Xenopus tropicalis: one gene and its partner. The protein of the gene in region 2 interacts with the protein of the main gene of each other region in a biochemical or structural test. Links are inferred from orthologs where the notes say so. Each region holds a gene or a part of one and is shown on either strand. Other genes may lie near its edges.

What was found. The genes of interacting proteins can lie anywhere in the genome.
Region 1: the proteins of shank1 (region 2) and wwtr1 interact in a test that uses a peptide from one of them, tested with the Homo sapiens proteins (2 studies listed by IntAct, with this or other methods). The link is inferred for Xenopus tropicalis from reciprocal best matches to the Homo sapiens genes SHANK1 and WWTR1.

What each region holds. Positions count from the first base shown.
Region 1 is NC_030681.2:122,437,431-122,441,189, forward strand, and holds the start of wwtr1 (WW domain-containing transcription regulator protein 1), read right to left. Parts: upstream 2,543-3,759; coding exon 2,136-2,542; intron 1-2,135. UniProt on the Homo sapiens protein: Transcriptional coactivator which acts as a downstream regulatory target in the Hippo signaling pathway that plays a pivotal role in organ size control and tumor suppression by restricting proliferation and promoting apoptosis.
Region 2 is NC_030683.2:110,063,221-110,066,879, reverse strand, and holds part of shank1 (SH3 and multiple ankyrin repeat domains protein 1), read left to right. Parts: intron 1-656; coding exon 657-680; intron 681-3,197; coding exon 3,198-3,254; intron 3,255-3,356; coding exon 3,357-3,481; intron 3,482-3,659. UniProt on the Homo sapiens protein: Seems to be an adapter protein in the postsynaptic density (PSD) of excitatory synapses that interconnects receptors of the postsynaptic membrane including NMDA-type and metabotropic glutamate receptors via complexes with GKAP/PSD-95 and Homer, respectively, and the actin-based cytoskeleton.

The DNA.
Region 1 (3,759 bases), on a different chromosome or scaffold from region 2:
TTTTGCACAGTGTATCTAGATGCCTTTATTAATCTGTTATTGTATAGATATATCACCCCAAGCTCTCGTTGTAATCTCTTGTCTGAAGCAGGGTCTGACAAACTTGTAAGTTCCTACTGTAATATCATGATTTTCAGTAAATCCTTAGAATTCACTAGAAGGATATATCTCCCAGTTTCAGGAAAGCATTTACTAGCAAAGGCACTGTATGACTATGTATGATGAATGTGGCAGTCAGTGTTTCCAGGTCTCTTCCTGCATGTAAATAACAATGATGTACAATGTATCAAATGTTGCTATCCTGCTAAATGAGAAGTAGACCAGACTGATTCCTATTAGCACCCTAGTGCAAGGGCTTCAACTTTGTTAAGACCAAGCTTCATAGCCCTAGACCCAGACCGAACCAGTTACAACAAGAAAGCAGCCCTGCTGTAAGTGATGCAAGAATAATTACAGCATCAGATCCAGATGGGAGGACATTACAGTCCCAGACACATCACCTTCTGCTGGCTACCATTTCTCCAAATTGTTTCCTCAGTTCCAAGCACCACGTTACAGACTCTACTAGCCGGACTCACTATTTGCACTACCAGGCAGGTGTCTATTACATCTTTAGGTACCAGAGTATATGAGATGCTGGCACTTCATGTTCCCACCCAGTGAAAGTATTCAATAAAAGACAGTTTGTGGACAACAAAAAGGTTACAAACAAAACAGATTTAGTACAACTTTTAGATTTAAATACCGCAGTGACAGAACTGCTCTCAGACAGCTGTTGTTGTACTACAGCTCTCACTGAAGTTGTAATTTAAAGGAACAGTAACTCCAAAAAATGAAAGAGCTTTAAAGTAATAAAGATATAATGCCCTGTGGCCCGGCACTGGTAAAACTGGAGTGTTTGCTACAGTAACACTACTATAATTTATATAATAAGCTGCTGTGTAGCCCTGGGGGCAGCCATTCAAGCTGGAAAAAAGGAGAAAAGGCACAGGTTACATTGCAGATAACAGATAAGTTCTGTAGAATACAATAGTGTTTTATCTGTTATCTGCTATGTGCCTGTGCCTTTTCTCCTTTGAATGGCTGATTCCATGGCTACACAGCAGCTTATTTATATAAATTATAGTAGCCTTTCTGAAGTAAACACACAACTTTTACCAGTGCAGGGCAGCAGCACATTATATTTTAGTTACTTTTATACACTTTCATTTTTTGGTGTTACTGTTCCTTTAAGAGCTAGAGAAGGGAGCCACATACTGGACACTCGTGGATATATCTTAAAGGAACAGTAACACCAAAAAATAAAAGAGCTTTAAAGTAATAAAAATATAATGCACTGTTGCCCTGCACTGGTAAAACTGGTGTGTTTGCTACAGTAACACTACTATAATGTATATAATAAGCTGCTGTGTAGCCACGGGGGCAGCCATTCAAGCTGGAAAAAAGGAGAAAAGGCACAGGTTACATTGCAGATAACAGATAAGTTCTGTAGAATACAATAGTGTTTTATCTGTTATCTGCTATGTGCCTGTGCCTTTTCTCCTTTGAATGGCTGCCTCCATGGCTACATGGCAGCTTATTTATATAAATTATAGTAGACTTTCTGAAGTAAACACACAACTTTTACCAGTGCAGCGCAGCAGCACATTATATTTTAGTTACTTTTATACACTTTCATTTTTTGGTGTTACTGTTCCTTTAAATATCTTAACACTCAGTCAGAAAGTTTTAAAATGGTCTTCATTTTTATGTTTTCAATTATTTACCTTCATCATCAGCCTCTTTCTGGCTTGCAACTTAAAATGTATTCAGGTTGTGGTGACTGATCCCAGCAGCCTAAAAACTATTGCCCTGTGTGGCTCCAATTGCAGCATTATTGTTATTTTACCTGGACCTGCTCCTATTCATTTTTCAGTCCATTACTCTCACCACTGTCTGGTTTCTAGGGTTAACTGGACCCTAACAACCAGATAGATGCTACACAAAAAGCTCAATAATTGAAAAACACAGAAACTAAAGAAAAGACTATAAAAAGAAAAAATGTCTAAGGATAACTGTATGCAGACTTAAAGAACTGGCATAACCCTGTATAGATGGGGGTAATATCAAGCACAGCCAGCACTGCCCTCACTTACTTGAGAAAGTATCTCTGTCCCGTATGTGTGAATGCCATTTCCCACCCCGGCGGCAGGGGGAGCTCATCTGTCACATCGTAAGACTGCTGGCGCAAGTGAGCGTGTAGCTGAGCGGTACTTGGCGCAGTGCTGGTAGCAGTCCCTTGCTGCAGTGATGCCGGGGATGAGTTGGATCGGAAGTGAATTCCCTGCCTGGGGGGATGGCTGCCCGAGTCTGTGCTGGACTGCCTGGAGTGGGACCCCGAGTCGGGCTCCTTGAAGAACGACTCCGGGAGAATCTTCTTTCTCCAAGAACTTGGCTTCGGGTTCATGACCGAATTAAACAGAGCTTCGAGATCCGTGTCCAGGTCCTGGGTAACATGGATCACTTGCTGCCCCGGCGGTGGGAGATGTGGGCTCGGATTCATCTTTGCAGCACCGACACAAACGGGAGCTCCCTGGTGCAACAGAACCGAGCTGCTACGTCTCAGGGCAGCCTCAATACCCCGACAAGGGAAACGAATACTTTCCGAATCAGAACAATACGATAAAGATCCAGTGGAAGTTCTGTTTCCTGCAGGAATATCGGTACGATGGGGGGGGAGGGAGCAGAAGAATCTGCGCTAGGAGCGCTGCGAGTCTGTGCGTCCCAATGAGTGCGACTCTGCCCGTGACGTCACATGGAGAAAAGTTTCTCTTGTGTCCCTGTAAGCCGGGAGCAGCCCTCAGGAATTAGAGCCGGGCCAATCAGAGCGCTGCGTGGGACGGGTTCACTCCCAGAGCCCGGCTTGTCCCAAACAAAGTAAGAAAAATGTCAACTCACGGGATAGGGGAAGGCGTCTCTGGGCAGAACCCCCTGCGCTCCGCTGAATTATACATAAGCCGCCGCGATATGTCTGTGTGTGTGTGGGAAGGACTAGCGCTTGCCCTGCCCTGCTCCGGCTCCTCTCCAGGCACCGGGACTTTACCTTACAGGGCAACAGCCTTAGGCTTTCCCTCCTACGTGCAGCGGCTCGGGTTACACGTGTGGGAGAGAGAGCGCAGGAGTCCGGCTGTACTGTCCCGGGGGCTGTGGAGGGAGGCGCTTTAATAGCTCAGCGGAGCGTTACTATCCCTTTACCGTGCCCATAATATCAACCGTACTGCACTCTCTGCCTGCCTGGCCCTTTCCGCGCATCTAACCCTTTCCTGTATCCATACGCTGATATATAAGGAGCTGTACCAATGCTTCTCTACCCACCTGGCGTTTTGGCGCCTTCTTGGCTCATACACGTTTGGACTCTGAATTAAAAGAAAATGCTCCATTTGAGTCAAAGTCTTGCAACAATTAAAAACTCATATCTTTTTAGTCATAGTTTTTAATATTTCTATAGCAGATTTCATGATTTGGGGTAAGGCCAGAATTTAAGAGAAACTTATCCTAAAGCTAGAAGCTGTCATGCTGTAAAAGCTTGGGTTGCCACAATTTCTAGAAAAAACACCTGTCTTCTAGGCTCTGACTGGCAATCTGTGGATGTAGGCAAATGCCAGAAGGGCTGATGTGAAATGCCATAGACACTCACTATTGGGCCTATAAGGGGGGATGTTTGGGCCTCTGTAATTGAAATGCCAGGGCCTATTTTCAATCCTAGTCCAGACCTGCTCA
Region 2 (3,659 bases):
TGATAATGAGTTCTTCTTATCACTGAACGGCTTGACATTTTGATAGGATTCAGACATGGATAAATCTATATGGGCGTAGCACAAAAAAACAGATTATGAGACCCTTTAAATCAGATCTTCAAATGGCTAAAATACAGCACAATTTATGGTTGAATGTCCGTATAAGACATAAATCTGCATTTTCCAATTTCCCATAAAATTTACAGCCAAACATAACTCACATGCACTTCTCGTCCCTGGGAATAAAACATTACGACAGCAGTGTAGAATTCTACTATCCGTGCCGTCAGTTCACGGTTTATCTCCTTTCTACAGTAAGTTGTTATGCAAAATTCAAACTTTATATCCTGATTGCAAGACACCATTTGCACCCATTTTAGGTGATTAGGTAAATCCAGAGGCCATACATTACCCTACCCAAACCACCAGCCACATCCACCCCACATTTTGATGGTAAGGTAGCTCTCAGCAGCAAGGATCCATTACTGAGGGAATGGAGACTGGCATGCGGAGGAGCCTCAAAATATCAAGTGTAAGTTATGTTCACCTTAATTTTGCTGCGAGCGGTGGGAGGGATGAGTAAGGACTGCTCACATGGGCTTGTACAAAGGCTTGAAAATGTGCTTATCTGACTGACTCTTTGCTGCTTTTCCTAGTTTCACCCTGGAAAAAGAAAAATGGTGAGTATATTGGATTGCTGATGGCCAAGATGATGATTTCAAATGTGAACATGAATTTCTGTGACCTGACTAATACTATTATTTAAATTCAAGATAATTAGTAACTCAACGAATCCTATCTAGTTTTACGTGAATTGTGGGGGTGCCGATCCCTTCTACTGTGCACTAGACTTACTTTGCACAAGAGGTGGCTTATTGTTCTGATACCATAAGCCAGTGATCCCCAACCAGTGGCTCCTAAGCAACATGTTGCTCCCCAACCCCTTGGATGTTGCTCCCAGTGGCCTTAAGCAGGTGCTTATTTTTGAATTCCTGGTTGGTTTTGGTTGCATAAAAACCAGGTGTAGTGACAAACAGAACCTTCTGTAGGCTGCCAGTCTACATAGGGGCTGCCAAGGCACCAGTCAGAGCCCTTATTTGTAACCCCAGAAACATTTTTCATGCTTGTGTTGCTCTCCAACTCTTTTTACATTTGAATGTGGCTCACAGGTAAAAAAGGTTGAGGATCCCTTCCATTAGCAAATCACATTTCAATCTTTCATACTGAAATCTTTCCACTAATATAGAGATTGACTCTGATACAGAGACCCTGACCATATTGAATGATATAGAATTTATGAGGCATTACATTGATTAGTTGTTCTTAGAATGTTAACAGTTCCAGTTATCAAGCAACAGATGGAAGAGGCTTTATTGTGCCACCTTGTGCACACAGTGCACATCCCACTATTTAATCAGTGGTTTGGCCATGAATGCTTGATGCTTCAATAAATCACACTCCATCTTTGGTCAGTTATATAGGCCATCCAACAACCAGAGATTACATTGCTTACTCCTCCCTGACACAAGGTGGGACGGCTTTGTCTCTTGCAGAAATCATGGGATTGGTTAAAATATACAACTGAAGAAAACTATTTTATTTATATAATTTATATAGTATAAAAAACACAAATGTAATAGTGCTTTTTTAGGGCAGTGACACACGGGGAGATTAGTCACCGCGTGACAAATCTTCGTCTCAAGACAACTTTGGCAAATCGCGGTGCCACGTATGCCATCCCACCAGTGATTTACATTCTAGCCAGTGGGATGGCATTGCGGGGAGATTAGTCGCCCGCGACAACAGAGGTTTGTCACGGTGCCACTAATCTCCCCATGTACCCCTGCCCTTATGGTTCCACACTCTCTGTACATTGTAAATGGCCCTATTTATATTAGTCTCACTAATAAGTGCATCAAAATTGCCCCAGTACTTAGTTACAGAGCTATGATCTGTACTACCTACCCCAGGGCTGTCTTATTTTATTTTCTCAGCCAGGGAACGTGACTTTGACCCAAATGAGACTTGAGTTTCATGTTCATAGGAGTGTATATAGTAGTTTTAAGGAGCTTCTGTAATGTTATTTTGCTCCATGAATGTGGTTCTGGGTTCCACTAAAATAATGCAGCCATTGGCTCTTTAAGTGGACTCTAACCCTCACCTCCTACCTTGTAATGTGACAGAATGTAATTCAGTAGCATGCAATATAGAGATTTACATATATATTTATATGTGAGTACTGGGAGCATATTGGATTCACAATGGGGATAGGGTAAAATTTGGCACCATGATTTATCCCAAGTTTTCATTGTAGAGATCTGTACAAATGGGAGCATTTGGTAGCAATTAGTGGGAGCAGTCTTTAGCTTGTTTGTGGAAGACTCAGGAGACACCAGGCTCCTGGGAAATGATTTTGGATGACCATGCTAATTCAATTCACACCCAGTTACACCCCAATAATGCCTCCTTCCTTCCTGCCTGGGGTATAAATAGGTCATGATAAGCCACCAGTATTAGAGTATCACCCTCATTTAGCATCAGATGATTATCTTGAATATCATGCATCATAAATACATTTTAGAACATAATAAAAATATTAGTTATGTTTAATTACTGCTGAAAATTGCTTAGAATAAAATGATGGCACAAGCAAGTTAATAGCAGTGTTATTAATATAATGGAGAAAGAGTTAATGCTCTTGAATAAATGGGTTCCAAGAGATTCTGTGTCATGCAATGAACTCTGCCAGTACTCACTCCCACAGCCGCTGGGAATGTTTCATGTTAGGTCCATATTGTCCCTTTTAGATTTTTTTTTTTTTATTTTTTTTTATTTTGTAGAGTTCAAGCAAATTTTCTTAGCTTTTTCACCAGAAAAATAGATTTATGCAACAGAGTTAATATGTTACAAAAGTATATATAATATTAATTTATATAATGCTTAATTAAATATATATAACGATCAGATAGATAAATTCAATGGTATTATTTAGTTAGGCTTCCTCTCCCGCTTACCCCTAGTGGCCGTGGGGAGAACAGTTGTTTGAAGGGGAACAAAGTATACAATAAGTAACCTCTTTAAAGTGTTGTGTGCCCCTGTTCAGTTTTAATAGCTAAAGATGTTTATATTTGCTCCTGTAGTGGGTTGTCTTGTTGTTTATGCCCAACATGTTTATTATTGACATTTTTTTCTTTCAGATTATGAACCACCCCAGAATACAGAGAAGAAAAGAACGGTGTACCAAATGGCACTAAGTAAGAAAAGAGCACAATAAGATTTAACTTCACAGTCAGTTGGGTTATTTCAGCATCAGCATTCAAGTGAAACTGGTAGTCAACTCATTTCTCCACTTACAGATAAACTGGATGAAATCTTGGCTGCAGCCCAGCAGACAATCAGTGTCAATGAGAGCTCTAGTCCAGGGACTCTGGCTTCAATGGGAGCATCCAGGGCTGCTGGAAAGGGATTTTTCTCTGCAGAGGTATTATGTCATTTGAGATGAAACTGTTGGTCTTTTCCTGTGTTATCCAGTGGAAACTAAACATGCCAAGATGTCCTGATGTTGGTGTAGTACACCCATGCATTGGTTTTGTCAAATGCTGTACAAATTACTGTCCTTCAGATCTGGATCTATTCCAAGTTTTACTGCTTTTGATATT